Mytilus edulis: one gene and its partner. The protein of the gene in region 2 purifies or fractionates together with the protein of the main gene of each other region. This does not show direct contact. Links are inferred from orthologs where the notes say so. Each region holds a gene or a part of one and is shown on either strand. Other genes may lie near its edges. The genes, in order: BCL2/adenovirus E1B 19 kDa protein-interacting protein 3-like and F-box/LRR-repeat protein 4-like.

Evidence for each region.
Region 1: the proteins of F-box/LRR-repeat protein 4-like (region 2) and BCL2/adenovirus E1B 19 kDa protein-interacting protein 3-like purify together in Homo sapiens (affinity purification with western blotting; 4 studies listed by BioGRID, with this or other methods). This does not show direct contact. The link is inferred for Mytilus edulis from reciprocal best matches to the Homo sapiens genes FBXL4 and BNIP3.

The regions. Positions count from the first base shown.
Region 1 is NC_092347.1:47,102,382-47,119,641, reverse strand, and holds the start of BCL2/adenovirus E1B 19 kDa protein-interacting protein 3-like, read left to right. Parts: upstream 1-9,383; 5' UTR 9,384-9,505; coding exon 9,506-9,530; intron 9,531-10,987; coding exon 10,988-11,138; intron 11,139-12,121; coding exon 12,122-12,176; intron 12,177-12,722; coding exon 12,723-12,790; intron 12,791-13,154; coding exon 13,155-13,301; intron 13,302-13,868; coding exon 13,869-13,926; 3' UTR 13,927-17,260. Other genes in the region: probable sodium/potassium/calcium exchanger CG1090, read right to left, coding at 8,883-8,997. UniProt on the Homo sapiens protein: Apoptosis-inducing protein that can overcome BCL2 suppression. May play a role in repartitioning calcium between the two major intracellular calcium stores in association with BCL2.
Region 2 is NC_092345.1:89,858,217-89,875,444, forward strand, and holds the start of F-box/LRR-repeat protein 4-like, read left to right. Parts: upstream 1-10,955; 5' UTR 10,956-10,984; coding exon 10,985-11,200; intron 11,201-13,780; coding exon 13,781-13,871; intron 13,872-17,228. Other genes in the region: peroxisomal bifunctional enzyme-like, read right to left, coding at 2,476-2,546. UniProt on the Homo sapiens protein: Substrate-recognition component of the mitochondria-localized SCF-FBXL4 ubiquitin E3 ligase complex that plays a role in the restriction of mitophagy by controlling the degradation of BNIP3 and NIX mitophagy receptors.

The DNA of each region.
Region 1 (17,260 bases), on a different chromosome or scaffold from region 2:
AATAGCAAACTCAGTGCTCACCTAGGTCAATGTGCATCTTTAACATTAAAAAGTAAAATCACAAAAATACTGAACTTAGAGGAAGATCAATTGGGAAAGTCCATAATCACATGGCAAAATCAAATAACAAAACGCATCAAAAACGAATGGACAAGAACTGTCATATTCCTGACTTGGTACAGGCACTAGCGGTAAAGGGGCACTAGCTACGAGATATATATATAAAAAATCTAAAGTCTGATTTTTTTCTTTTTAATCAATAATAAAAGTGCAATAGTGAAATAACAATTTTGTCAAATTACGCTAAGAAACATTGATAATTAGTAATTCACTTGCAAGTGAATGAGTCGACCTCTTTAAATCCGTATTCATGTGAACTTCAATTTAACCCCTAGCTAGAGATTGACAACGCATGCATTGTACGTGTACTGGTTATTTAAAGAAAAAGAATGTCAACAATGAAAGTGAAACTACGGTCAATCATTTGATTACTAATTCGATGCACATGAAATCATTCTTATACGGCTAAAACAATGAGAAACATCTATTTTTAATCTATAAAATAAAATCAAACAGACCTATAAAAATCCATTTGCACGTGTTGGTTTAATCTATTCATATCTTTATTTATGTTTACATTGCTTATATGGTCATCTGACGTCAAATCGATAGTTAATTAGATGGCGTCTGGACTAAAATACCCACGAAACGAACCTATATATTATCTACCCCATGCTCTGTAAACTGTTTATTTTAGACTTTTGATAGTTTGGATAAATGTTTTACATTGTTATAAATCAAATATGAGAATTTGAGTCAATTCGGTGACCATGAATTTGACAGCTAGTGCCCCTTAAAAGACTAGAATATAATTCATAACAAAAATCTCTTTTTTCTTGTTCTTGTATGGCTGATAAAAAATTTCTGTTTACAGTTTCTCTCTTCTTCTTTAGTTTTTGCCTACCGGTAAACAAACTTTCTTTTATCATTGTTTTCACTATTATACAAGTCTACATATAAACTATTTTTATAGGGCAGCAACTCCTATAAGAAATCAGCAAAGTTTTGAAGGAAAGAGTCGATAGACAGAGCTCATCATTCTTAACAAATATGACCAATGTCCAATTTTCTCTATTTATACCGTTTTTTAAATAATAGTCCACACTTGAATTTTACCCCTATGTTCTTTTTTTTAACAGTTGACATAAACTTTATGCAAATGCTGTATTTGTCAAAACCATTATTTTAGAACCTATATTTTGAACTATTGGGAAAAAGAAAAAGAAGATCATTATATCCATAGAATTATTTATTGTACATGTAATAGCAACTACATGTAACTTCTGATAGAAATTCTCTTTTAAGGAAGACATTTTTTTATTGTTACACAACAAAGATAAATGTTTTCTAATATTGATGACCCACACAATGATATGGGGTATATATGTCAATGAAAAAAACAACACAACTATGATGGTCAACAAAAGATAGGGATCTTTTATCAATATTCATATTATAAATCATATAAGTCCACAAAAATGATCTCTAAGCTACATGTATTTGGAAAAACTGTCAGAATGTTTGCTCCAATGCTTTTCAACTTCGTTCTTTAATTTCTTTTTATTTATTGGAGCATCATTGTCAGATGAGTCTTTTGTAGACAAAATGGAATTTCTGAGGTAATAAAACTATAATCCTCCAATCTTTAAGTTTTTTAAAGCTGTATCACTGTATGGATGGGCCCTTTTATGCAACTGTAAGATATATATATATTTGTACTGTTTTGTCCACCTATGCAAATCACATTTATTTCTCACATATCTTAGACATGTTTGAATGATAAACACTAAAGTACACCTTTTTTCTTTAGTATTGATTTTATAATAATAGATGTTATTTTTCAAGATTAATTTATTACAATTCAATCCAGAAAATTAAATAAAATAAATGAAATCTTAAAGTACACAGATTACATCAGATGTTTTGTCTAAAGATTCTGATCGATTAATTCTTTGTACAAACATACAACAACATATCAATCACTTTCTTTTCATAATCAGTAATGACATTTTATGACAGCATTTATCAAATTTCTAATTTTAAAACCAGGTTTTATTTTTTACTTGATCATTACTAAAAACACTATCTGGTTTAAACCAAATCTCAAATGCGGTTAGAAGAAAAAAACACATGGATAACAAAGTAACACAGAACAGAAACACCCAAAATCTTGAAGCAGATAGTTTATCTGATAAAAGTCCATTCATTAATTCAACCCAAAACAGTGATTTCTACCCATAGAATCATCTGATACCAAAACAACGGACAATTCCAAAGCGGAACAGGATTAATGCTGACAAACCTGATTTGTAAAGCCTGGCCAATATAAAATCAATGCTAAGTGCATGAACTCTATTAATAATCTATCTTGAAAATTTTGTTCTACGCTAGTACTATCCTGAACTTATTTCACAAATATAAAATGTACTGAAAACCTCTTTTTTCGATAAAAGGGTTGCATTATTTTTTATTTGTATTATTTATTGACCAATTTATTATTTTGTATACTTTATTTTGTTGCTCTTGTTGCTCACAATGTGTGTCTGAGTGTATTTATAAACTTGTCTATTGTTTAAATATCCTGAAAAGAGAGTAATTTTGTCATTTAATTCACTATTTGAAGCCCTAATATAAGATAAAATGTTATCAAAGAGCTAGATGAAAATCAGTTGCAGAAAATAAACCTACTTGTGGCGATGATGAGTTTTATTACAAAGACAATGATTCTGCTAAGTATAGTTTAAAATAATTATCTTCTTTTTGTTCAGTAGCAGTGATGCAATCAATAATTAACACAAGATAGAGCCATATATATTTACTAAAGGAAGATTACCATAGACATGTTTGTTCATAAATCTACCGAAAACTAAGTATCTAATGATCCAAAAATCAACTCCTGAATTGGCTGATGAAGTCTTGTTTTGATTAGGTACAATGTACATGGATTTTTTTACAAATGTGATATCACAGATTGAACATTTGCATCACATTTTCTAAGCAGCTACAAATCACAATGTTGTCCCTTTAAAGACCCTAATATCAGAATTTTGCACAGTAATCTTAACATCAAAATTTAGGACGAACAGAAGCCTCTTGCTGCTCAAAGATTGAAATATCAGTTCATGAGCCATATTGTCCTAATTTAGGCAACCTAGACAGAGGATGTAGTCATATAATAATTATTTAGCTATTTAGATAAATGAGACAAGTGAAACATTTATGCTTAGTTTCTAGTAATATTTAATAAACAATTGTGTAAATAGATATAGGAAGATGTGGTATGAGTGCCAATGAGACAACTCTCCATCCAACTAACAATTTTTAAAAAAGTAAACCATTATAGGTCAATGTACGGCCTACAACACGGAGCCTTGGCTCACACCGAAAACAACAAGCTATAAAGGGGCCCAAAATTACTAGTGTAAAAACATTCAAACGGGAAAACCAACGGTCTAATATATATAAAATAAAAAAACGAGAAACGAGAAACATGTATAAATTACATAAACAAACGACAACTACTGTACATCAGATTCCTGACTTAGGACAGGTGCAAACATTTGCAGCGGGATTAAACGTTTTAATGGATCCAAACCTTCTCCCTTTTTCTGAAACAATAGCATAAAATCACAAGCTTGGTTTAAGTGAACCTACTGTACATTTGTATCTCAGCAAAACAACACATTTAGGAAATGTATTGATGAAATATGTTTAAAGTAAAATTTGTAAGGTTGAAGTATCAAGTCAAAATTACTACTTCTTGACAGTAAATTCATACTCTGGTATTCATCAAGTCAAAAATAATAATCTATTATTACACAGTAATATTTCACTTGTGATGAGGGCTAACCCAGTAGACACTTAAGAATGATCATTTAATCACATGTAGCCCCATGCTACATATTAAAATCATATGACCACTTGATAGATCACTTAGTGACAAAACAATACTGAATATAATATAGAGAGATGTGGTCACCTACAACAACAAACTTCATCAGTTTCAAGGAGGATGTCATTAGGATATACTAAACTTATATAATTATGTTTGATAGATTATTTGATTTACCGGTACATGCATTTGGTGATAATAATATGTTGATGATGTATGATGATGTACAAAATTTTAAATCACATGCAACTTTTAAAATTAAAAAAAAAAAACACTTATTTTTTTTTACTTCTAAAGACATCAAAAAGACCTCCAAATCAACTGCCTTCAAAAACCATAAAAAATTTCTAATAAACTTTTAAAATAATTTTTTTTGTCAGACATTGAATTTCATAAACATGATATCATTATATAACATAAATGACAGGACTGTCACAGGAGAGAAGCAATCTTTATACAATGCACATGTCTTAGAGCCTAATCACTCACAAAGCATCTATATATAATACTGATTAAATTGGTTGTAAGTAATTTCTTTGACTAGTCACTAAATCAAGTCTGGTGGTTTTATAAGTACATTGTATTTTAGGAGTACTTTATCATATGTTAGTTAAAATACAATTTTCAGCTTTACGACCCGATCGATCAGATCAAAATGTTCAAAAATCAATTAAAACACATAGATAACTTAAAAAGAAAACATCCATGTAAAATCTTCTGGTAAAGTGAGCAGAAATGGTTCTATTGATGTTTAATGTCTTCAAGTAAATAAATACAATATACAATTAAGACAAATACAGTCTTGAATATACATGTCATATAAGAAATGAGCTAACAATCTGCAGCTGTGACATCTAAGAAGGCATTCAGCCTTAAATGCATGTCCTTAAGATTTGATCTCACAACATTATGTAATAATTCATTTTTTCAAAACCAACGGAAATACTAATTCTATGTTAATAAATTCAATAAATATATATAATAAAATAAACTACTGCATTTGATAAACTATGTGCTCAGGTACAAAAGACCAACCCTGGATACATGTACCTTGTCATACATGGTCACTATTTTGTGTCTGTCGCTGCTTAAAGTTTTTTTTAGGTTCATGGACAAGTACGTTGAAATTTTGTTCTGCTAACTGTTTGAGCAAAAAGATTTAAACATCTGGATGTAACTGAAAGCTCCCATAGACAAAGCTACCAAATATTGCATTATCATAAATCGTTGCAAAATTTGTATCTAACTAAAATGTTATTTCTCATCAAATCCATCCAAATTATACAATTGTAAGATGAGTTGATTATAAGACTTAAGCTTGTTAAATGTCATGTAGCATATATTTCATGCATTTTCAGAACTGAAAGAGCTTACTTTTAAGTAATTAAAAAAAAGGAAACCCTGAATTTCAGTTGATGATATGTTTGGTCCTAGTTAAAATAAATTTGTCAGAAGTCAGCAGAAGAGTTGTATTTTCGTTCCCTGCTTTGATCATTTCAAAAATTTCATATTTAAAATTGCTATTCCCTCGGTGTTCTCTTATAATATAAGCATGATAAAGTTTTAAAATAATATATTGTAACAGAGGAAAGAAATGTAAAAACAATGTGTTGTTTATAAAACAATGTATAAAACCTTATAAAAAGAAAAAGAAAAATGTTTCTGGAGACCTGAATGCTTTGAAACTAGAAATGATGGAATGACAGATGGTAAAAAAGTAACACTGAATGCCCCTGTCGCCTATTATAAGTCGGGTCATAAAAACTTTAGATAAATATATTCTGGCAGAATCTGGGTAAAGCAAATTTGCATCATAGTAAATAACCTGATGCTAAAAATGTCTTTCTACAAAACTTTCTTTTTTATATTTTAATTCATTATCCATTTTTAACATTATAATATATTTAAAGTTATGATTTTTGTAGTTTAAAATAAAATGCCTCAATTATTACCAAAACCAGGCTATTATTTAAACTTGGAATTATTATTAATTATGGAATTTGCATAATTTCTTGTGCTTGAAATTTTTTAATAAATTCCATGTTTATTCTGTACTCTAGCACTTCTCAGAGCACTTAAATGTTCTGTGCTGTGTTATGAACCGCTCAAAACATTAAAATACCAAATAACATGGAATTTATTAAAAATTTCAAGCACAAGAAATTTTGCAAATTCCAAAATTAAAAATAATTCCAAGTTCAAATAATAGCCTGTTCAAAATGAAAAGTTTACATTATCTTATAATTATTGTTAAATTTATATGACAATTATACATTGACAATTTAAACACCAACCACAAACATGATGAGACTAAAATGTCCAGACTTATAAATAACTCCTTCATTTCAATGAAGTTTACATGTATGATGTACAAGCATATCAGATTTAAAGGACAGATCAATAGTCATATTACTCTATAATAATATTACAACATTTATTTTCCTTCATACATAAAATGGGACTCCAAAATGCACTTCTTAATGTGCAAAAAACTAACAGAAAAGACATAAAACGAAATATGTAAAGCAAAAACAATGTACATCTGTCAATAATAGACTACAAAAAATGCAAACATAAAACAGAAAACAAGAATGTATTAAAATAATATAGACACAGGTAACCCTAAATTACTAATTACACAAAATATCTTATATGAATATTAATGTAGTTATAATAATTTGTGAAGTATGCATATAACAGGTTAAATCTGGCAGTGGAATAACCTGCACACGCGAGCTGTCTTGGAGAATTTAATTTAATTCAATTTAAATATAAAATCATTAGCTGACATAGACCTTTAAAGAACAAATTGAGTTCATTGACTTGACTTTAATAAACCTCATTAATCATGACAAACATGTACAGCCATTGAGAATATAAAAATAAGAAGATGTGGTTTGATTGCCAATTAGACAAATTAACATCAAAGACCAAGGACATATATATCATGTATATCTTGTATATAAAAGTTAGAAATTATAGGTCATCCCGCAGTCTTTAGCAATATGCAAAACCCATACCCGAAAGCAAACTATACAAGGTTCCTACATAACAAATAAGTAACAAATTAATTCAAATAGAAAACTAATTGCCTGATTTAATTACAAAACAATGACAGAAAAAACAAATATGATTTTATACAATAACCAATGACAAGTACCGAATTACAACCTCTAGACTAAGGATAGCCGCATTCAAAATGTGGCAGGGTTAAACATGTCAGTCTTCACAATAAAATTTTGAATCCATAAGCCTGAAAACTGTATTAATTTACAAATAAATTAAGTTGGATTCTAGATCTGTTGGCTTTAATATAGAGAAGAATTTTCCAAGCCCAAAAGCAATTTTACAAGCTGAGGCTGGGTTGATGCTTAGCTATAGACCTCCATCTAATTTGGGTGTTATACCTAAAAGCTAGAATGTCACAAAAAACAGAAAAATTAAGCATCCAAGAAAAAAATATCAATCAGTACATGTACATTATACAATGGGTCAAGAGTAAATTAAAGATGTCATAAACAGTCTAACAGAGAAAAACAAGATGTTATGCCATGCCATTTATAGGTATATATAGACATATACAGAACTGTAAATTTACGTTCATAGCTGAATAGCAATAACTTTTTGTTATGCTTTTTGTCTTATTAAATGATAACATAAATCAAAGTCAAATACAATTTATGGGTACTTTGCAGAAACGAGCAGTGATTGCTTCCTATTAGGTTTTTTTTAAATTTGAAGACTTGTTACAGCTACTGATCTGGACATGGTCCCTTTCTATCGAATTCCAATGACCTTAAATTTACCGCTTACTTAATTCAGTCATTAGGTCAGTCAGTGGGATCCCAGCCCCCAACCCCCTATGAAAAGTTCTGAATCAGCCACTGTTAATGTTGATAATATTTAGTAAAAAGGAGCTGGAAATTATTTCAATTTCAACTGCATGTATAATTAAAACACTAGACTTAAAGCTATTAAAACAACTTGTTCATTTAGCATGTTTAGGGAAAAAGTGAAGCTTTGAAGTAAACAAATTTCAAAGGCATGCACATACAGTAAGTCAGTTGCCAGTATAATTGCTTACATCCACTTCATCTGAACTTTGTTGAATATATGTCTCATTGGCAATCATACAATATTTCCTTATATTTTTATAGCTTAACTTGTACATGTTGTAGGTTTGAATTTCTCATATACATGACCCATACATATGTTCCAAGTAACCAAAATGCAAATTGATAATTTTTAGTATTAAAACATACTTTAATGCATGTTTAATATTCTATTGTATGTCTTTCTTATATTGCAAAGGAGAATTAATTGTTCCAATTGAGATTTTACCTACTCATAGACGATTTTAAATTTTATCAGATCCCTAACATTCCTTAAAAAAAAATTGGAAACAAATTTTGTCAACTGAAATTTTTCAAAAAAAAAAAATTCTGGAAGTATATAAATATTATAAATGAATATCGAAACAACATGTACCTGGGTCTGAAACATGTCTATTAGTCCCATCATGTTCCCAAATATGGGTTACTACATGTACATTCAATCTAAATAATTCAAGTTCATCTATTTATTTGTTATGCATATAATTTAATGTGTTGCAGATATGTACTGAATTGAGATCTTATACCCCATCATAGGAATATCCTAAAATTGTAAGGTTTTTAATTCATACTAAAGTATTAGTCTCTTTAGTTTCTGCACTTTAATTTGACATGACTGAATGTAAATGTCATGCACAGATTTGAAGGAGTGAAGAACTAGAACTGTATATTATTCCAAAACTTGACTGCATTTGCTTTGATTAGTTTCTTACTCATTATTTTTTTCTCCAAAATAATGCTTGTAGATTTCAAACAGAATGTGATATTGCACAAAACATATACCTTAATTGTTATTCTATAGCAATACATGTACTTACTGCTTGTGTTCCAGTCTATCTCATCTTCAATGACTTTATTATTCTTCCAGAGTGTCAGAGAGATCATGGCTAAACCAAACAGAGAAAATTTGACAAATGCTGATGTTTTACCCATCTCGAATGGTTTCTTTCGTTTAATTTACTCTAAAACATCACATCGTATCTAAATGAAAGGATATTATGTCAGGTTTCCAGGTATCAAGTTTGACACATGTGTTGTAAATCCATATTTGGGTGATTCCAAATTTTGATATCACAGGGTTAACAGCATATGATTTTGTAAATCAAATAGAGGAATTTTTATGAATTAAATTTATTAGGTCATGTTTTCATCTTTAAATCATCTTAACCTAACAGGATAATGAAGTTATATTGCCTTTTAGAGGCCACATGCATTATTGGCGAAAGTGAAAGTATCGATATGGAATGATCTTATCCTTTCGTGTGCATATATTTTCTATTGTTGGATTATTTCCCTTAGCTATTATCAATGTAATTTGTTACGGGAAGTTGATGAAGGTGGAGCAAGTCAGTTTCCTTTCGGAGCTTTTATTAATTAATACCACGTGACTGGTGACGTATACGTAAATAAACGAAAAGCAAAACATCAACAAAGAAGTATCATGTCATCGACACAAAAAATTGAAGGTATATTTTGTAACGGGAAGTATTGCTTCATTGCGAAATTGTAAATACAGTTAAATAAGATAAAAATATGGAACAGAGTACGAATTTAATTAGGAAGCAGGTGCGCGGAAATGTCAGAAAGGAACAAATAATTGATGACATCAATAACTGTCGATCGAACAGTTGAAAATCATTAATCTTGACCTACTTTTGTTTCTTTTTCTGTTACATGATATTTTTGATCTAAATTTTCTTCATCTGAAGCTTTCTTTTGTTGTTGTAAATTGTATAAATCTTGACAGGTGCTTGTGAAGGTACGTGACTACCCTCAGATACACTGTACGAGTTCATTGTCATTTTCAATGAATTCATGCAACATTAGTGCGTAAATGGGTTTGTATATTAATAAAAACAATAAATAGAATAGCTTTGATAATAAATGTCAAATACTTTAACAAGAAACAGAAATCTGTGAGAAGTTCATTTTGTACATGTAAGACATCTGACCAAAAGAATCCTCACAAGAGTCAAAACTGGGGAAAAGAAAGTGATTAACAATGATTTTACATTTATGATTTTTCTTTCCTGCTGACTTTTAAAATGCAATATACACAACTAGAAAAAAAATCATGAAAAATAAAATGCATGCTTTCTTTTGACCAAAAGACAATATAGAAAATGTTGCTGTCATGCTAATCTCTGTTGGGATTTTCTGATTTGTCTGCCCTCATCAGAGGTTACTGTCATGCATGCAGAAACTGTACATGCACATTATTATGTAGATGTTTAGAAAAGGTATTGCTAGCAACATCAATATGTGTACTGTGTATTTAAAACTGCATTGTATTTTTGGATTTTGTTCATCTAACAATTCCAATACATAATATAATGCTTGCATCACAGCTGAAGATTGACCAATCAGATAATTAGATTGTGTTTATCTATTTGCATATTGGAGTTGAAACGGTGGCAAATCCTCAGGTTTTATCATATATGCATGTAGTACACATGGTACACAAACTTAAAACTCAATTTATTATTTGTCGAATCATTAAAATTAAATTTGAGATTGTTTTTTCAAATCTCCTTATCATATTAGACATGTGTTTAATAAATCTTTGTGATATCTTTTACCGTTTAGTTTTAAATTGGAATTCAAAATTGTATTTTCCCATAGAGTTTGAGGTATGAATCAGGAATTGAAAAAAAATTGTGTTCATCCTCTCTATTTATTTCAATTGTAATATAACTTGAAAGAACAAAATTGTACTGTAAGTAAAAGAGCCTTAATTCAAGGACATCATAATTTAATTGAACTTGTTAAATTGTCTACAAATCTTGCTTTCAATGGGACAAATAAAAAGAAAGTGAGGATGAAAGTTGTCTTCCTTTGTATATTTACTTTTACATGGCTTTTGGAATAGTGAACACAACACATCAAAAAGTACCAACGAAAATTAACAAAATTTGTCTTCTAGATTCATGGATAGAACTTAGTGGTGGAGTTACACCACCAGTTGAAGCACAATCCATATACAATGGTAACTTAGAAAAGTTATTGATCGAGGCCCAAAGAGAATCTAGATCATCATCAAGACCAAACAGTAAAGAATCATCAGCCAGGGGCAGGTAACTAAGAAAATAACATGTTCTTATGTATGAGTTTGTTTCCATTGCATACTAGAAAAAGCAATTATTCACAATTTGTACAAGTATTTCAAACAAGCATAATGTACATGCATCATCACTGACATGTATTCTTTATCACATTTGTCATCAATGATGAGGATTAGATTTTGGTTAGAAATAAAAAGACCTTTAAAAATAAAGCGGTGTAGGAAAAATGTCCATGTGACAGTTCTCCAATAACAAAAGATACACAAAATATATGAATAAAGGTCACTATATGATTATATCTGGACAAGCATTGCTATTTTGTCAAATCATTTTATATACCAACAAGATGGAACAGAAATTAATATACATTTTACATGTTACAAATGTACATTAGATAACACATGGTGATGTGAAAGAACCATATCCAATTGCAAGTAACATAAATTTGTTGTTTTAAATTACATTTAAATTTATGCGATGTATAGAGAGTAATTATATGTTATTTAATATAAAAAAGAAGATGTGGTATGATTGACATATACATGTATATTAAAAAAAAATGACATATATTGATAATGCTGATTATTTTTTTCATTTAAATTTACACATGTTTGTTAAATGAAAAAAATTCTAGATTACATCGTAAATGAATAAATAAAGATCTACTAAATTTATTTAACAGAAACAAACCTGGATAAATAAAAAAGATAGAAGCTTTGTATACTGCTTCCTCTTCTGATAACACATTTATACTAAACAGTTTTTGCATGGAAATCACATTGAAAATGCAGAAATTATTGCTTTTTTATACATAATCGGCATACATTGTACAATGTATGTCAAGGAAAAAACCCAACCCAATAACACAATAAAAACCTAGAGGTCAACATATTCATGTACAGTCTAAAGTTCAACATAAATTGGCCTAAAAAAATCTAAAAAAAAAGTTTTGTAAAGTTATTGACTATTTTTAGTGTTGTTTATTTCTTTTTCAGCCCTAAAGGTCTGCACAGTCCTACAAATGAATTATCAAATGCTGAATCTACACAGGTACATGTACATACTGAACTACACACTTTATTTTAATTTCATAATAAACAAGGAGATGTGGCATGAAGCCGCATGAGACAACCTTCCTCCAAAGTTCAAATGAAGTGGATGTAAACCTTTTCTTGAGCTTTTAATCAAGATATAATAGATTCCTGGAAAACGTTTATGAATTATTATTTTTATTGTATGATACCAGACCTGCCAACCCATAGGGTTGAGCAGAGAGGTGTGAACCTCAATTTAGAAATTCTTTGCAGGCATCCAAATGAAGGAAAAGGGTATTTAAGCACATAAATATGCATCTGCACTACATGAATATAGTAGTAGATTAAAAACACTTTGACAATATAAGAGGAGTATTAGGTCCTTGCACTTAAAATCCCCATAAAAATTTTGAAATGTTGGCAGGTATGTTATACACTTATCAATGCCATTCATTAAACTACTATTCTTCTTCTTTCTGCATTTAAACCATTACTATTTCTTTTTTATCAATTTGACAGCTTCTTTCTTGTTTTGTATAAAGAAGTGATTATTTTTTAATAGGAAAACCGAGATCCAGGTACAGACTGGATTTGGGACTGGTCCAGTAGACCTGAAGCCTTACCTCCAAGGTAAGTAAAAGTTAGATTGCACTTTAAACTTCAATTATGTCATATTGATATGTGCATATCATTTCTTTTTTTTTAATACATGTACCAGTAATTTATCATAAATGTATTTCTTTTCTTCATAGTTTTTTATCAGAAAATTAAGATTTGACATTTACAACTAGGCTTATTTTCATCCTTTGGAACCAATGTTTAGAAATTTCAGACTAATTAAGTAGCAGGAATTATAGTTATATTCATTATACTTGTCATACCTTACTTTTGAATGAATATATAACAACACTAAAGCTTGAAACATCATGAAAACTGAACTAACTTAATTTTTTGTTGTGTCTTCACTGTATAAATCATCCTTTTTTTTTTTTAGTGATTTGGGAGCACGTTTCAAGCATCCAAGAAAATCTGGATTTAGAAGTTCACAAATGATACGAAAAGAAGATGCTTACAGCTTGAAGTACATTATTATATCAAATGCCTGCTCCTTTGTTGTAGGAATTGGTCTTGCCAGTCTGGGGTAAGTTAATTGGATTACAGCAAATAAAAAATACTCTCAGTACAAAAGTACTGTGGTAATTTGAAAGGACTTGCAGTACGCGTATAAGTAAAACTTTACCATCCTAGTATAGATGTAATGATTAGAAACAACCATTCTGAGAGGACAAAAAGCTGTAACAAATAATTATTCAGTTATTCACACTGTACAAAGAACAGCAAAATATGTGCTTAAAACACCAAATCTAGTATTTTGATTGGTTGAATTCTGAGTGTGAATACTTTCTAGGTGCTCAAACTTTTGATGACCCCAAGACCTGGGGTTTAAAGTCATCAAACTTTGCTCAATGCTTGGAGCACAAAAATCATGCTCGAAACATGAAATCCATTTTGATTGGTTGATTTTAGAGTATGAGTACCAAAAACTGACTCAACAGTTTTATGACTTTAAGGCAAGGACTTTGGAAACACTAAAAAAAAGAACATATTATCTGTTCATTACTTCCTTCATTTCATGTTAAAGTTTCGATAAATATAAATCTTTTTCTTACTTCTTGTTTTGCATCAATATTGTTTTCTTTTCTTTCAGATTCTATTTTGTAATGAAGAGATACTGCAGATGTAGTAATTTAATGATCTCTAACTAATGGATAAGGACAAGATAATGGAACAAACGTATTTTTTATCGGAAGTCTTATTAAAAATCATAGTGATTATCTCTGATTCTGTATATGAGGGGAGATGATATTGAATTGGAATATTTTTGTACCATCATAATTTTTACCCCTCTTACTTACAAATGTATGCATATGAAATGATTTAAGATTTTTCTCAATTATTTAGATGCTTTTTGATTTCTGGTAAAATGTCTACAATATACAACAGTAAACACTGAAGCCAGCTTCAAGTTGTTTAACTGATTTTACTATGGCCAGTGGCTTTATGATTTTCAGTTCTTTAATTATTAATAAATACCGGTAGCTGTTATTTTATGCTTCCAGTTGTTTGATACTTATCACCTCACAATATAATACAAATGTTCTTGAATTATACAGATGCTACATGTTTTTGTATTTAAGAAAACTAAAAGCAGATTATTCCAATGTCAATGTCTGTTTGAAGAAGCCTCCTAGTTGCAAGCAATTGTAAAATCATTTTTATTTATTATAAAAAAAAATAGATGTTAATGAAACTATTTTTTGTACGTAAATGTATTTTAATAGATGATTTTAAACTTTTAAGAGCTGTGGAAAAAAATAATTGTTATAATGATTGTCTGTTAAGGAACATTTTAATTTTATTTGAATAGAAATTTGAAAAATATTATAAAAAGAAAATTATGACAATTTATTAGTTATAGTTGATATATATATATATCTCATAGGAAACTTAAAAGATGTAGATTTAAAAATGAATGTATATACTATGTATGTATTTTGTTGTAAACTGTATTCTTTCAATATAAGTAACATTTGACTGTGCACAAGTATGTTGACATTTCTCTTTATTGTTTTATAATCTGACTTTGGCAAACTTTTCTCATGTATACATTTATTAAAACATATATATGCAAAAATTTAAATAATACAGCTAAAATTACTTTAATAAGGTTCCAATTTTATCTCTTGTTTGATGTATATTCTTCCAAAGCCAAATTTTTGTAAAATCTTATTTAAATTATTCAGTTCTGATTTTCTGAGACCTTTACGTAGTTGGTTGTGGATATATCAAATTTTACAAATTTCAATTAGTATAAATTAAATAATGAAATTGATTGTTAATATAAAGTGTGTATCACCGTGCAATATGCAATCATTATTCATGTATGTATGTTAAAATTTTCAAATACCGTATAAAGTAAACTGCATTTTCATTATAGACAATTTTCACCTCTATGAGTAAAAAATATTTCAACAATTTTTGTAGGTATTTATATACAATGTTTCGATTCATAACTCCTTTTAACTCTTTATATGTTTCTGAAATACATGCAAATAAAGCAAAATAAATCTGCATGGGAATTTTTTTTTTTAAATTGTTAAAAAAAGAGGATTTTTTGTTAATAGTTAATAGAACAAATTACAAATAGGACAAACATGAGATTGTTTATTTAGTTTAGATTTTGGACTTCCTATTCCGGTGAAGAAGTTTAGAATGCTTTTCTAGGTTTCAATTCATATGCAAAAAATCTCACAATTACGAGTAATTTCATAATTTTTATAATACTATAAATTTTGTGTATATTGAAAAGTCCAGAAAATCTTGAGTCAAATCCTTGGTTGCATATTTTCTTTAGTAAACATAAAACTTCTACAAAGTAAAAACTTTTGCACAACAATCTCTAGAAAAACAGTATAAAAAAATATAGATTCACACATGATGCACAATGCTTAGGAGCAATCACTGCTTTTCCTCATTTTTGAAGCCAGCACAAATTAATTTGATATTTTTTAAATATTTAAATATATTTTATTTATATACCTTTCAAATTGTACTTCCTAAGTCATATGGAACTTGTTTGTATATTTTATGAAATTTTGAAATGATACATGTATTTACAGGAATTGTATTCATTGTTTTATAATGTTTAATTTTTTATTTTATATGATGTTTTCCTGTTACACTTACTGCTATGGTTGATTAAACACTTTTTATGCCCCACCTACGATAGTAGAGGGGCATTATGTTTTCTGGTCTGTGCGTCCTTCCGTCCGTCCGTTCGTTCGTCCGTCCGTCCGTCCGTCCGTTCGTTCGTCCGTCCGTCCGTCTGTCCCGCTTCAGGTTAAAGTTTTTGGTCATGGTAGTTTTTGATGAAGTTTAAGTCCAATCGACTTCAAACTTAGTACACATGTCCCCTATGATATGATCTTTCTAATTTTAATGCCAAATTAGAGTTTTTACCCCAATTTCACGGTCCACTGAACATGGAAAATGATAGTGCGAGTGGGGCATTCGTGTACTGAGGACACATTCTTGTTTTAAACAGTTTTAACTCAATTTATAAATATATTTAAGTTTGCTGTTTTATACTTTATATTAATTGTTTAGATATATATATCTGAAATATAATTGGTCTTAATTGTGACTGAGTTTTTTTTGCCTATCATTATTTCATGAAAAAATATTAAACTGATCAAATGTGTCAATATTGCAGTTAAGACAAAATGAACTGAAAAAATTACACACTTTTGTTATACTTAACAACAAAATATTGCCTTGTATTTAAAGAAATATTTTCTCATTTTTACAGTGTCACTTATATATTAAAAAGTTAACCCTTAAGTGTAAATTTGATTTTTGATTGAACATTCCTGAAATTCCACCAGAGAATGGAATGGATGGAATTTGTCCAGTATTTTATAATTCCATCATTAATCAAAATGATGTTTATTATAATCTTGTCAAACTTTATATGCAAATAGGGTGTTAATTCGGTGAGGCTTTTGAGAAAATAGTTTATTTTGGATAGCGTTTACAATAAATTTTTAAGATGCAGATAAGATGATTTTTAAAGTTAAAAAATAATGTTAGATAATATAACTGGGTTTGATGAACAACATCAAGAATATGATATTCTGTATGACTCAAAGGATATTTGATATGGGTATTTTATTGTGAAAGGTATTACCACTCTTATACAAAGATATATATATATTGCCCTCTCTCTATAACATTCTATTCTATGGACTTGGGGAAATGTGCTTAATTATATATGTCATCACTTTTTGCATGATCACACTAAATTTTTTCATCTTGACGGTTTGCTGAAGCAGAATGAACTAATTTGAATGATCACATAAATGAATAGATGAACATTTGATTATTTTCTAATCTGACTGTTGTTAGAATCTTGTTCTGTCAGTGTAACAAACTATTAGTGCGGTCACCATTGTTAATTTTATGATGTATACTAATTAATCACAAACTAGATTTTACTGTATGTGTAAGGTCTGTTTTTTTTCTCAATTGATTTATGAATTT
Region 2 (17,228 bases):
TGCACATGCTGTTACAGTGCTTATCCAGTGACCTTTGGGGTCTCACAATAGCAATGGCTCAAACAGTTTACCAAATTGCAGTTTGATTTCTTCTCCCACAAACTGATTAACTGGTAAAATATTTTAGCAGATTGCTCCAGTGAAATGTTGTTACAGGTAATATGAAGTGAGTGCTGTAAAATCAAAAGTAATACTTACCATGCAGATCCAGTTAGTTGATATCTTTGTCATTCTTTTCAAACAAAAAAATTACTTACTATAGTACGAGTCACTGAATAAGAAGGTATAATTTTGACATGGAAACTTCTATCATAAATAGATTTTATAAATAAATAGTTCAAACCATTCTTTTGTAGATGTATATTTTATGGCTTTGTCTTCTAAGACAAAGTTATTGTGTAATTATGATTCGTATAATATTTTCTATACAAATTACTTATCTGCTGGCATTAAAGGGAAATAATTTTTATTGAGTTATTGAGTACACTAAAAAATTAATCAATGATACCAGGCTTATGATTTAAAAAAAATCATCAATACGTCTTGAATAAAAAAAAAATTGAATTGCCAAATTAGGAGGAAGTTGAAGGGCATTTAGGACACAAATTACAGAGGTTTTGCCAAATACTGCTTATAAGTTATCATGTGCTCCATGGTAGAGAATCCTTAGTACTTTGAACAATACAAAGTTTTGCAAAACAGCTGTTAATCTATAATTTTACCATATCAATAAAAATTCATGTCAAAATAAAATTACTGGCTACTGGACTGGTGACAATTTCTTAATTTACAGGGGAATTTGTATGATTTATAAAACTTTGAATGTGTTCAATAATAGGTTTTTAACAGTTTTTTTTCAAAATTTTAATCATCTTAAAAATAAATTTCATTGTTCTTTTCAAAACAGAGGATAAAAGTTTAATAATCATAGAAATAATGTTTCAAACAAAATAAATGAGGAAAGTTGATATTTGTCAGACAAAAATTGTGACAAAATTTTGCTGATTTTCAGTAATGTAAATTATTTCCCTTTAATGGTAGCAGATAAGTAATTGCTTTAGAAAAAAAAATCCAAATTACAATTATGCACTAACTTGTTGTTGGAAAACGGAGCTATAAATTATAGACTTACAAAACAATGTTTTGAACTATTTATTTATAAAATCTATTTATGATAGAAGTTTTCTTGTCAATATTAGACCTTCTTATTCAGTGACTCATACAATAGTGAGTCATTATTGTGTTTGAAAAGAATGACAAAGATATGAACTAACTGGATCTGCATGGTAAGTATTACCACTCACTTCATACTAACAACATTTCACTTGAGCAATCTGCTAAATTATTTTACCAGTTGATCAGTTAGTTGGAGAAGAAACCTAACTGCAATTTGGTAAACTGTTTGAGCCATTGCTATTGTGAGACCCCAAAGGTCACTGGATAAGCACAGTAACAGATTTCAAAATATAAAGATTATAAATAAAACAACTTACTAAGCCATTTAAATATTTCTTAGCCCTTTTAAAAAAAAATTAGATACATGTATGATATAAAATGTCAAGTATTGTGACAAACTAATCTGAATGTCATCTACTCATTTGTAATCTCAATAATTAAACAACTTATGAGAGTAAGGAATAAAGCATAGTGAATGTTCAAACGATAGAAATAAAAGATAACTGATTTCTTTTTCTTTCGTAGCTTGCAAAATAATGAGATATGATGGATTTGGTAGTTGTTAACTTCTATGTCATATTGATCTCTGGTACAGAGTTGTCTCATTGGCAATCATACCACATCCTTTTATTTTTATTTTAGATTCCTTCTTAGTATCTCTAGAGCATAACTAAGTTAAAATGGTTGAAATACTGACTCTTCAGTGTACTTTTGTCACAAATATTCATGAGTTACTTTTATAATCAAAAGAAAAGTACTCACAGACAGCCAAATCCATAAACATGATAAATAGTATCTAAGAATATCAACAAAAACAATGTAATCTTGTTTACAAAATATCAAAGAAATCTTAACAGTTATAGTGAGATTTAAAATTTTTATTGTTTTGCACATGCACATGCAAAACAGTTCTGATATTCGAATTTGCTACTGTTTTCATATGTCAATCAGTTCTAAGGGAGCTACCATTTGATTTTTATGGGGGGGGGGGCTAGGATGAAAAATTTTGTCCTGCCTTTTTTTTTAGCTGTAATCTCTGTCCTGCCTATTTATTTTTCACTCTGTTCGGTCCTGCCTTCTTTTTTTTTTTTAGTTTATCCTGACTTTTTTTTTACCTAAATTGTCGTCCTGACTTTTTTTTTTGCAAGTGTCTCATTCTGCCTTTTTTTTACTCAAAACTCCTGTCCTGCCTATTTTTTTCAAATTTCATCCTAGCCCCCCCATAAAAATCAAATGGTAGCTCCCTAAAATTCAAGCATTCATAAATCTACCCATGTTCAAGATTAATATCCCAATTACCTGAAAGCATTGACTGGTGGGTTGTTCACTTCGAAGACAGCAACCTGTCCATGTACTGAATAATCCACCATCTTCCTAATTAATATTGTACGTTAAACTTTGTCAGTCAATTCAGGTAGACAAACTTCACTGATAACCAACATCCTACATTATGAACCCAACATCCTACATTATGAACCCTGAAAGATAACATAACTATTGACCAAGGTAAAAAATAAAATTAACATAATCATGGTTATTTAATCTTATTTTGAAATTCAGACACAAGAGGAACTAAACAAACACACACTAAATAAAATCAAGGTATACATGAACATGTATTTTTTAAATATTTTATAACAATGTGTGTTTCAGCATAAGACTAATAATCCTGATGCATTGCAGTAAAATCATGAAAATACTAAGTAAATTAGAATCATATTCAAAACAGTGTGGCTGTGGCCATTGATTGACGACCTAGATTATCCCATTGACTGGGACAGATTATGTGAACGTTTGTCTTTAAAGACCACTGCTCACTATGTACTTGTTAAAGACACTTAAACTGTGGGGTCACCAAAGGTTCTCAACACCTAAGCTATTCGAAAAATTAATCAGGAATAACACGATGTTATGATTTATCTCAATAATATAAATCAAAACATAAAGGTTATTCCTGATTAATTTTTCGAATTATTTTATTATTGAAGGCGTTAAGAACCTTAGGTTACCCCACAGTTTAAATTTTATAATAAGTAAGACAAACGTTCACCTAATCTGTCCCAGTCAATGGGATAATTAAGGTTGTCAATCAATGGCCACAGCCACACTGTTTTGAATATGATTCTATAGTTATCACAAAGTTTATGATAATTTATGTAGAATATTTTCATGTAGCTATAGGAAACATCAGCAATCAAGTAAAGCCTCCTTGGCCTGACTGTGATTTATATTTGTTCCAGAATTCACTGCATTAATCTATCTAAATAAAAGTTTCAATATCGCCATTTGCAAGTAATGAGAAAGAATCATTATTAAGGGGGCGCACGGTTATAAATCACATTTTTTTTAGATAAAGGATTTCGCTACTTTTTTCTATAAATAAACTTTATCCTATACTTACCATAAAAATAAAAATAAAATATGGGGCCACCGTTCATTTAAGCTCACAATATCCCTTTGAAAGAAGCATGCATTTTTGTTAAGGTACTTATTTTCTGTTGAACTAATAGGAGAAAAAAAGGTAACATCCAAATAAAAAGAGAACTAAATTACAGAAATTGCTTAAAATTTTACAATAGTTTAGTTTAAGAACAGGTTATTAACAAAAAAAAATAATAAAAAATATAGGTCACCGATGATTTAAAAAAGATATTTCAATTCAAATGCAACATGTGCAAAAAAAATGACAATTTTTCACCAAAGGGAGATTATTTGGAACTTTTTCAATGATATAAACATTTTAAAAGTCATCTGGGACAAAAACTAATTGATTTTTTGGTTGATTTTTGTACCATATCATAAAGTAACAACTAACAGTGTAAAAAATAAAATTTGTAATGAAAAAAAAAATGTTTGCTGAATTTTTTTAACCCTCGAGCCTCCTTAAAACCTTTTGTGGTAGTAACAAGTACAGGGTAATAGAATATATGTAATATACTTAAAAACCATCAAATTAAAGTAGTTAAATCTATTAATATCTTGCTTTTTGCATAGATCAGATAACCGTGGTGAATACAATTACATAATCATATTTTTGGAAAATCAAACAACCAAATAATATATTCTTGCACATACAATGACATAGGGGTAAAGCTAAATATTATTGTCTAAGTTTATAGGCTTTATAAACAACATCAGTGTAAACATTAGGAAGTGATATCTTGTTTTTTATAAGAACACTACAGGTAACAGCAAATTTTCGGGCGATATCTTTTTGCGCCAAAAAGTAACTCATTTGCGCCACAACTTAATTGCGCCAATACCTCTTTTGCGCCACCTAATTTTCAAAACTATAGGTATCATTTGCGCCAATAAAATAATCATCTAATTGCGCCAATTTTAATATTTTTATCTATATATAACAACGAAATGATTGACTAGGTACCAACAGCAAAAAATTCCTCTGACATTGTACACTGAAATTTCAAATTAGCCTCCGCATCCTAATAAAATTATACCGCTTTCTGGATCGTTACACAATACAAAGTCATCATCTTTGTTTGTAACAACACCAATATCATCCAATATTCTGTGAAATTCTGCTCGATTTTTATATTAAGCCGGACGCAGTTTTCTTCTCTCTATATATACATACTAGACTGACACACATATTTTAAATCTTTCTTTTCTAAATTTTCTTCTTCAATTTTGAAGATCTCTGAATTTATTATTTTTGAAGGTCGCTCTGACAACACATTGGTTGCTTTTCTTTTACACGCAGTTCTCAAAATATGACGTTCTAATTTCTGGACACTGATAACGAAAATATGATATTTTATACTGACAAAATCTGCTATGAAATTTTAATAAAGCCAAAATGTATTTTATACTCGTGATAGTTGACTTGTATTTGCATTATAATTTTAAGAAAAAATATATATTATAGTCTCTCAAAACTCTTTATAGAGTGGCTCTTGTTGTTAACTAGTGTTTTGAAAAGCTGTATATTTTATATGTTACAAGTGGCGAGACTTTAATAAAGTATTTGTCTTGTCTTGTCTTGATATAGGTAAAACATGTACAGGTATGATATAAGTAAAAAAATATTAACAGGTAAATGTGGCGCAATTTCATTTCATTTATTGGCGCAATTAATACCATCATAATAAAAAAGAGTGGCGCAATAAATACCTTTTCAAAACTGCAATTGGCGCAAATTGATTCTGCCCAAATTTTCTAACCAAATCTGTAATGCTAACAAAGAATTTGGTAAAGATTATAATTAATTTGTGGTTATGAAAACCAAGACTTAATAATTTATCAGTTATACATAAATAATGTTCATTTATATCTAAAACACGACTGCAGACACAGGCATAGTGAACAAGTTGTGAAATATACACAACATAAGAAAGTAACATCTTTGTCAAAAAATTTGTAAGGGTTCCACGAAACCCAGTGTCTTGCCTACTTTATGAATCTAATAAATGTTTTAAGAACTTTAACTACAGACTGTATGTAATGTTAACTGGAAGAAAAACTAAGTCCATATATAAGTAACATATGGAAAAACTGGAAATATATTTTAACAAAATTTCGTTCTAGATACTAGCTTTTGATTATAAACAAGCTTCTGTCCAAGTTTGGTAGAAATCCAGGATAGTTTATGAAAGTTTTTAAAATTTTAAAAAACTTTAACCACAGAGTGAATGTTATGTAAACTTGCAGAAAAACTAAGTCCATTTATAAGTAAAACTTGGATAAACAGGATTTTTTTCTACACAAAATTATATCTGGATACTATCTTATGATCAAAAACAAGATTCTGTCCATGTTTTGTAGGAATCAAGGATAGTTTAAGAAAGTTTTTAAAATTTTAAAAACTTTAACAACAGAGTGAATATTTGTGTACGACCTAGAAGACGATGCCGACAACGAAATGTAGGATCGCTTTGTCTCGCTTTTTCGACAAAAGTTGATTGGTAACAAAAAAGGAAAATTAACAATCAAGGAACCAACATACTTCTCAATTGTTTTGTTATATAGCATGTGTAGAGTTTCCTGTGTGAAATTGGATATCCTTTAAATAGTGCAACTATTGTTGGCTGTATTAGATTTAATCAAAATAAGTTTCTTTTGGTATATTTCAGCTGTAAAATGTAAAATGTAAGAATTCTAAGCAAAAATATCATCAATGTAACAGAAAACATTTTTAAATGTAGTGTTTTTAAAAGTTTCAATATAGTTTAGACAGATCTTTTACTGAATTTGGCCATCAACTGAGATTTATTACAACACAAGAACAAGTCTATTATTAAAGAGGCTCAAGTAGTTCCCATAGGAATACCTTAAACCTGTTGATTAACATTATTCCTAGAAAGTACATAAATGTTGTCATAATGAAAATTTACAGCTTTAATCATTTGATTACAGACATTTTAAAGTATCATTTATTAAATAAGAGAAATTCTGTTTAATAAGATTGTGTGGTAGAGTAGTATACATAGTTAAAAAATTATAACTGTCAACTGAATTGAATGGACCATCAAAAGCACATAATTTGTTTAAAACTTCCAAAGAGTTTTGACAAGTTCAAAAATAAATCAAAGCTTTCTCAAAATCAATAAAGAGCAGTAATCCAAAAATATTGTTCTCTTCTATATACTGTAAAATATCATGAATCAATCAAATGCTATCCCTTATATAATAATCCAATATCTATTTCATAAAGATCCAAAGACCAAAACTTAAGTAATTGTTCATAAACCAAGAAACCCTTGTTTTTCCCCCTTTTTTTGCCCCTAATTCCTAAACAGTTTGAGCCAATCCTATCCATCCCTTTGTGGTATGGAAACTTTTGGTACAATTTCAGAGAGATCCACACACTGTTTCACAAGTGTAACTTGAAAAACATATTAAAAGAAGGGAAATAACTCTAAGTTTATACAAAGTGTTTCAAATACACAGATAATAATGATTGTTTGCCTGAGTTAAAGGGTGTTAATCAATAGAATTCCTGACACCCTATGTCATGTATGTGTTAATTTTTAATAAAATATCTATATCATTTTCTAAATGGATGTTTATTATCTTATGGAAACCAAACTGAGAAAATAAAAACAAATAAGAAAGAATATCCAAATTGGGAGATCAATTTTTGTCATTGTTAAAACAATAAGTTTATAAAAAAGAAGATGTTTGAAATACAAAACAAAGTAATCAGATATTGATTAATTTTAACATTCAAGAAGAATATTAATTGCTTATTATTATTTCTTTGATGAACATAAGTTTTAATTATGCTTTAGTCAATATTTTCTGAAGATCAAGATCATGTAAAAATACAGCACCTAAGCTGAATTCAAGCAGATACAAACATACATTGGATAGTGTTGTATAATCATATATTTATGTTGTAACCTCTATGGAATAATTACTTTAAGGAGGCTCGAGGGTATAAAAATTTCAGAAAAAAATAAACATTTGTTTTTCACTACAAATTTTATTTATTACTTTTTGTAGTTGTTACTTTATCATATGGTACAAAAATCATTCAAAACAATCAATTCGTGTTGGCCCCAGATGACATTTAAAATGTGTACATCATTGAAAAAGTTCCAAATTATCTCCCTTTGGTGGAAAAATGCTTTTTTTTGGCTTTAAAATTGAAATATCTTTTTTAACTCATCGGTGACATATATTTTTTAATATAATTTCCATATAAGCTGTACTTAAACTAAATTATTGTAAAATTTGAGAGATTTCTGTAATAAATTTCTTTTTTTATTTCGATATTACCTATATTTCTCCTATTACTTCAACCACCTTTACAAAAATGTATGCTTCTTTCGAAGGCAGATTGTGAGCGCAAATGAACGGTGATCCCACTTTTTTATTTTAATTTTCTATTAACTATAAGATAAAGTTCATTTATAGAAAAATATAGAGAAATCCTATATAAATGATTTAGACCCGCGAACCCCCTTAAGTACATGAAGTATTGATCATATGTCTTTACAAGGACACATGATGGACAATACGTCCTATGGACAATGTGGTGGTATTGCAGACACCTATATATATGAATGTCATGGAAATGTGATTGGCCCGTCTTCAAAGCGCTATTGTTACATTCCTAATTAATTGGTTCCTAAACCAATCCAGCATTCTGGTTATAATACTGAGCGTCCAACAAAAATAATCTTTTTTTGTTATTATTACATTACTATATGCTGATGTATATGTACATATATAATCAAGCCAGTACTAGTCAGAAGTCGCAAGCAAGTAATCATACTAAACCTTAAATTATTTTTTTTCTATCACTGTTCCTTACATGTCTCTCTTACAGGGGGTGGGTAGTCCACAATATAGGAAAAAGTAAAATCACAAAATACTGAACTCTGAGGAAAAGTCAAAACGGCAAGTCGCTATAATCAAATGGCAAAATCAAATGATGAAACACATCAAACAATGGACAACAACTGTCATATTCCTGACTTGGTACAGGCATTTTCAAATGTAGAAAATGGTGGATTCACAGAAAGTCAATCAAAGAGCAGATTGATCTGAGGGATACGATTGCCATTGCTTTCATTGATACATGTATTAGTATTTAGTATTATTTTCAAAAATAATTCAACTGCACATGTAAAATGCTTGTAAAATGTAATTTACGTAAACTGAATAGTTATTCAACTTTAAAAATAGCCAATCCTTGATACAAGTTTATGAACAATGTAATTATTGTTATATTTTTGTACTATAAATTCCAAGTTTACTTTCCACAGCAGTCACTGAAAGTGAGAGAAGGTATTTCACTTTGTACCTTATCACCTATTTCATTTGTATTTTCCTACGTGAATTCTAGGTGGAACCCCATTCCTAACATTTTAAATATTTAATTTCCTTTGGGTCAGTGGGCATGAGTCCTTTCCATACACATTCCTCTGTTTAAATTGCGATCGGTTTTAATATAATACGTCTATCGACAGAACAACAAAAAATTGAAGTTTTGAACGACCTTGACCATTGTTGACTTGTTATACAGCCCTAGCTTGCACGATCGGTAACCGACAGAACGAGTTAACCCTCATTAGCAGACAGACATAGAAAGGATCTTGTGAGTTTCAAATTAATCAATGGAGTGGGGAATCTAGAGCAACCACTCAATCTGATACCCCTTCAAGTCAAGAAAACTATATGCATGCACATACCTAAACAAACCCTAGACTTGTGATTTGTAGCAAGGATGTATATTAAATGTTAATTAAACGACCTCCATTTCTTTATGGAAGTACAATATCAAATATCAGTTTCATAACGGTGACATATAAGAAAACTCCACTTCAGTTCTTATATGACAGAAATAGATTTTATCGATCGGAATTAAGAAAACTCTTGCATGTTATCAAAACTGGGGAATTCCCTCTGATGTGTTTCTAAATTTATAAAAACACTAAATATAAATACTGCTTAATTCTGATTTTCCGTGTTGTAAAAAACATGCATACAAGTCAAGGGAAATATCGAAACATGAAGATTATGAGAAGAACATTAGAGGACAGTTGTTTAAATTCAATCCTTTTGTTTTTTATACCATTTAAAGCATGACAATCTCAAGAATCTGAGATGTTCCTTGATGTTTAGAATAAAACGGTTGATGTGAGGGCATGACCCTGAGTCAATGGTATAAGTCTACAGATTGCTTAAAAGCAATCGTATCCCAAAAAAAGGTACTTCAATACCTCATAGTTATTTGGACTAGACACACATACACAAGGGCGCATATCATAGACCTATATATAAAAAAAGAAGATGTGGTATGATTGCCAATGAGACAACTCTCCACAAGAAACCAAACTAACGCAGGAATTAACAACTATAGGTCACTGTATGGCCTTCAACAATGAGCAATGCCCATACCACATAGTCTGTTATAAAAGGCCCTGAAATGACTGTAAACAAGAAAAACTAACGGTCTTATTTATGTTCAATAATTAAATGAAAAACAAATAAGTAACACATAACAAACCACAACCACTGAATTGCTGGCGGCCTGACTTTGGACAGGCACATACAAATAGATTGTGGCAGGGTTTAAATTAACATTTTAGCGTGTCACAGAATACAAGTTCCTTTATAATATAAGTTCCAAATGGAAACAATAGTCTGGAATTTTATTTCCACTGGAATAAATATTACAGTAAATGCTCCTAATGGAATAAATGGTATAGAATATTTGTTCCAAAAGGAACATATATATATACGTTGACAACCGGGATCATGTTTAGGGGTAAATATATGCCAACCTTTTTACATAATGTATAATGCCCACCAGTTGACGGGCATACAGTGATATATTTCTACCCTGAAAACATGTATGATAGGTACATACCCCTGTGGACAAGGGAGGGGTACATGTATCTCATTGCAAATATTGTACAATATAAAGTCCTTGATCATTGACTTCTCCTGTATATTCTATTTCATGACAAGATTAAATAAGCCAATAAAACTTGTGAAATTTGCATTGTAGACCTACAAAATAATAAAACTTGATATTTTGTTAGGCCCAAAAATACTCTCCAAAAATAACACTCTTTCCAGACAAATTTTCAGAAAAATTAGGTCTTTCATCCCGTATGCCAGTTTCAATTATAATAGTGTTTCTATCGGCCTTATCTTGGAAATTTCGTTTTTACGATGTTTTTCCTTTGATTAAAACGTTAATAATATTCATTATTATCTAAATTGAATAATTTAATATTGATGTATTATTGTATGATATAATATTACACATGATCGGACGACACTAATGAATTTAGCTATTCAGTTTCGCTTTCACTTTTCATTTCTAATTTTAGAAATGGCTGACAATGCACTTGCCAGAGATAAAATAACAGAAACACACAAGCCAGGCAGTACATCAAAGGCAGTTTTAATTTCAAGATTTTCAAAGGAAGTGACTGATTTCAGCAGTCAGTATGGTAGTGAAACAAGTATATCTTACACAGTCAGCAACCTAGCAGGAAGGAGTAACATATTTCCTGCTTATGGAGATTTTACACAGGCTGCTGTTTTCGTAAGATTTCCAGATATTAGTTGAACGTTTAATCATTTAAATTAGATTGAAATAATTTCATAAAATTCTTTTATGAAAATTTATAGGGTATGGAAACTTGGTGTTTTTATAGGACCTTCATATTGACAATTTTTGAGAGAAAACATTTTACAAATGTACATGATGCAATTTACAAAGTTTTTAGTGGAAGAAGACGTCAAGTCTTCTGAAGACTTAAGGGGCTGACCATTGGCATTGAGTCTCCGTATGCCGCATTCATTTCGTGTATTACAATTTCAAAACAACTTAGATTCCTGACACCGATTTTTACACATGATTAGGCATCTGAATCATTTAATTTGTAAATTATGATTGTAAAACAATCACTATCGTAAATATGACCCTTTTATTTATGTAAATTATTAGATTTCATCTCATCCACATGAACGTTATTTGTTTACTTGTAACAGGATGTTTTAACTGTAGATATTTGTATTACGCATGCGTGAATTTGGTATCGGGACAACTCGCCCTGTTTACAAGTTCGCCCTTGAAGTTACGAATTTGCAATCCTGCAGACAAGAAGATTTTGTTTTTATATAAATAAAAAGGATATATAAAGTGTTGTCTTTATTCATGGTTTTCCTTTGTCATGTGAATTAGATGCCCTTCGTAACATACATGTGAACCTCCCGTTTAGGAGAAAAAACTCCCGTGTATGAAATTTTTCAGACGCCATATTTGATCATTTCTTACTACTGTACGGGTGTAATTGACACCTGTGTTAAATTTTACCTGAACATCAAAGAAGATGTATAATTATAAGGCTTCACTTGACAGCTTGGGTGTCAAACATACTGGTAATCAACGATGTTTACCTCCGGCTAACTGCCGTTGTGTTATCAAAACGATGTGTATTGGGCATATTGAAATATTTTTTTGTTACTTCCCTTTGTTTTATCCTGTTTTCAGTTATTTTGCTTTTAAAAATGTAAATTGTAAAAAGACTATAAATGATTAAGATTTTAATCAAATAATCATAAACATGATAAAGGGATGTTGATTAAATGAATTTAAATGATTTTGGACAAATAAAAAAATTAAAATTTATAAATTATTTTAGCAATCTAGACCTCCTTTCAAGGATTAAATTGAAGTTTATATCATAATTTTGTTTACAACAGAATATTTTCTTAATTAATTTACGATGTTGCAAATATACATGTGGAGCTTATTTCTTTCTTATTTGTCTATACATTTACAAATGATAAGGAGATGAAGACATGAACAAAAATATATACAGATAAGATATATAAATATAATGATTCATTTGCTAGCAGTGAACAATCATTTGTCAAAAACAAAACAAAACAAGAAACAGATTCTTCTTATTATTTTATTTTATTCAAATAGAGAGGCAATAATGGAACTATAAACATTACAATTTGATGGAAATTTGAAGAAAAAACACAATTTCTACATCATTTGGTTACATTTATGACAAAATTTATGTCGATAAAAAAACATGATGTTTTGACCATTCAGTACTTAACCCTTTCCTCCATAATGACGCTTTTTGACGCCACCCCCTTTACTCCATAATGACGCCTTTTGACACCTGTGTAGTACCTCAGTTGAAACACTTTGACTACAAAGTGTCTGCAGTAGACTCAATAAAATTTGTATCCAATATGAAAAGGAATATCATAGGAATATTCTACTTAAATTTATTTAATGAAATATTTGTTTTTTGCAATGCATTTTAATACTTTAAAGCCTATTTTCAGCATTTATTGAAAAATTCTATTTTGTGTTCATTTTTTACAGTGGGTTGTGATGATCTTCCAGTTAGGTTACCCTCATTTGGAGTGTTGTTCCCAACCTGTTAAAGGTCCATCTTTGTGCATAATTCAAAATTGGAAATTTCAACAACATGAACAAGCATCTAATATTCTTAATCTGGAAAATAAACCCTGGTCTGCTAGCTTCATGTATATTTTTTCTACCGATTTAATATATAACTAGAATCATGCAAACAGACTTAAGGAAAAGGCATGTAAGTTCATCATACAAATATGACACTTTTTCTAGACAATCCAGATCTTGCAAAATACGTCGCTAAAAATTGTAACCTTTAAAATTGTTGTGCAGTAAAAACCCATATGGGAACTTTCAAAAGTTGGCAGGTATGTAACAAGTCTTACTATTTTTATGCTCCATTTATGGGCAATATGTGTTCTAGTCTGTCCGTCCGTCCTGCTTCTGGTTATAAAGTTTATGGTCGAGGTAGTTTTTGATGAAGTTGAAATCCAATCAACTTGAAACTTAGTACACATGTGTTCCTCTTGATATGATCTTCTTAATTACTGCCAAATTAAAGATTTTACCTAATTTTCATAGTCAACTGAACATAGAAAATGATTGTACGGATGGGAAATCCATGTACTTATGACCTTTTCTTGTTTGAAGAAAAAAAATACATTTTAACGATAATGGAACAAAGCAGCCTGGGTAAGTGGGGCTGCTTTTATGGTTATTCAAGTTACCTTTTATTCACCTTCTTCCACTTCAGAGCTATCAGCTCTTTGATTTCTTTTACAGAGAACATACGGACCATGGTGGAAGAATGTAACATCTTCACCTCGTAAATTCAAGAGAACACCACCTAACTTCATAAGTGATGATTATGTTGGTAAGATAACATTCAAAATAGTTTTAGAGTGGAGTCTATTTGACCAAGGATTTGTATAGTTAGATCTTACTATACAAATCCTTGATTTGACTACCAAAATCTATGGGAAAAACAAACCTTCTCATTTATTATTAAATTTAATGGACACATATGATAACAGAAAAATTTGGTCAGCATTTCTCAATTTTTGGGATACGATTGCTTTTAAGCAATCTGTAGACTTATGGCAGATTCCAAAAAGAAAAGAAAATTTCCGTCAAAAAGAACAAATTAAGAAAAATAATACTTACTGTTATTTGAATGATAATATGTGAATGTTTTATTGAATAGTAATGTTATATAAAGCAAGCAAACCAATTATTGGATATGATTGTTTCCATTAAAAGTAGAAATGATCACAACAAGTTGAAAAATGTGAAATGTTTGACGGAAATTACTTCCCATTTTTTGACACAAGGTTCATGTTTTACGAGGCTTTAAGTTGACACTGGTATAATGGTTTTTATTAGTGTAGTCTGATTATTCAAACATCTCTGTTTCCAAATCTTTTGCTTTTCTTTTGTTAAAAACATCTGTGATATGTATTTTTTCAATTTCTAATACCTTACTTAGGTAGCTACCATTTGATTTTTATGGGGGGGGGGGGGGGGGGGGGGAGGGGGGGGGGGGGGCTAGGATGAAAATTTTTGTACATTTGTACATTATACATACACATTTTGGATCTTTCAATTTACTTTATTTAATCAATAGTTTTATCAAATCTGTTGCTAACATAATTTCTGTCAAACTTGTCATTTTATGTTAGCAACGTTTGGATGTGCTACAAATTAGAGTTATCTGTCCTGGGTTAAAATCTTTTTAAATTTCAGGCATCGGTATTTTGCAGGAGTTCTTAATATGACTTTCAACTAGGATAAGAGCTCCAATGTTGGTTAAAAATCTCAAATATATATTGTCCGTCAAATTTATTTATGTTAGCACAATCTTATGTTAGCAACAAGTCCGTCAACATCTTATGTTAGCAACACTATTTAGTCCGTCAAATTTTATGTTAGCAACAATAATGTCTGTCAAATTTAATGTTAGCAACAAAAAAGTATGTCAAATATTATGTTAGCAACAAAAAAGTCTTTCAAATGTTATGTTAGCAACAAAAAAGTCCGTCAAATATTATGTTAGCAACAATAAAGTCCGTCAATTTTTATGTTAGCAACAACTTAATTTCTGTCAAATCTTATGTTAGCAGCATTGCATATGTCTGTCAAATTTTATGTTAGCAACTCCAAGATAATCCGTTTTAAAAGTTATTCCAATTCCTTTTTTATTGGTGCAGATGTTCAGAAATGTTTTATTCCAATTTGCCTTTCATGTTAAATCAAGATAAACATCTAAACCTTGAAAATACTGAAAATATCAAGATTTTTTGTGTTGCTAACATAAGAATTTTCCGTCAAAATGTCTGTCAATTTTGTTATGATAGCAACATTTTTTTAAGGTGGTCTTTATTTAAAAAATATAATGTGAATAGATCTATTTTTGGTCAAAAAGTGTTTACTTATATAAGTATAACATGTATTCCAAAACAGAACTTCATTGGTGTTGATATTGTTAAACATAATTTTGGGAACTTTTCAACTTTCTTATTTGGAATCTGCCTTATACCATTGACTCAGGGCCATGCCCTCACATCAACCGTTTTATTCTAAACATCAAGGAACATCTCAGATACTTGAGATTGTCTTGCTTTAAATGGTATAAAAAACAAAAGGATTGAATTTAAACAACTGTCCTATTATCAATGTTCTTCTCATAATCTTCATGTTTTGATATTTCCCTTGACTTGTATGGATGTCTTTTACAACACGGAAAATCAGAATTAAGCAGTATTTATATTTAGTGTTTTTATAAATTTAGAAACACCTAAGGGGTATCAGATTGAATGGTTGCTCTGGATTCCCCACTCCATTGATTAATTTGAAACTCACGAGATCCTTTCTATGTCTGTCTGCTATCAGCTGCTGCTATTGAGGGTTATTGTTGTTGCATAATTTTAAATCATGATGCATCATTTTAATTAAAATAAATGTAGTTCACAACGTAAAGGTGTAACTAGAACACCCCTTCAGCCAAAATGAGGTCTTCCATATTATCGCGTCGAGAAAAATTAACTCGTTCTGTCGATAGACATCGTATTATATTAAAACCGATCGCAATATAAACAAAGGAATCTAAACGGAAAGGAGTCCTGCCCACTGACCCAAAGGAAATTAAATATTTAAAGAGTTAGGAATGGAGTTCCACCTAGAATTCACGTAGGAAAATACAAATGAAATAGGTGATAAGGTACGAAGTAAAATACTTTCTCTCACTCTCAGTGACTGCTGTGGAAAGTTAACTTGGAATTGATAGTACAAAACTAAAACACAATAATTATAAGTACATTGTTCATACACTTGTATCGAGGATTGGCTATTTATAAAGTTGAATAACTATTCAGATTACGTAAATTACATTTTACGAGAATTTTACACGTGCAGCTGAATTATTTTTGAAAATAATACTAATACATGTATCAATGAAAGCAATGGCAATCGTATCCCTCAGAGCAATCTGCTCTTTGATTAATGTTTAGACCTCAAACTTGCATTATATCATGTTTATAAAACATAAGTAACAAATTATCAGAGATTGTTTTCATGTAGTCCATTATTTCAAACTGCTTGATAATTTTTATCAAAATCTTGTTTATAGCTGTCAAGATTAGCTTAAGGTAACACGATACCGAATGGCATATCTCCCGATTTCCAAATTTTTTGGCATACGTGTACTTTGAATCGAGTTACATCGGAATATGTAATAAAAAATGGGGGTCACCATTTTTGTTTTTTTGTAATTTTCATAGGAAAACATCAATTTTGGCGACAAATTTACTTAGGTATATAGGGGAAATGCCTTTTTTTCGGCTTACCTTTTTAGATTTTCGAATGGATGGCTATTTTCTTATATACGGAGAAAAACGAAAAACTAACATAATATCCAGGATTGCATAGTGAATCCAGACACGTATAGAAACTCATATGTCACCATGCTTGTTTTTGAAATAAATGGCTTCAAAGTTGATCGATAGGCCTAGAATTTGACCAAAAACGTGTGACGTTATGGTGTACGGAATATAACGTTATTTCTTCTCAGAGAATGGAGAAAAACATATGTGTCGGGATCTGAATGAGTATATTTTATTTTCATTTCCCCTGTCGACTGTCGTAAAGTTCCTAGTAATGCAATATAAAATTCTACTGAATCAGATATAATTTTATTTCGTCCTTCACATGGAATTTCACTTATATGAATTAATAT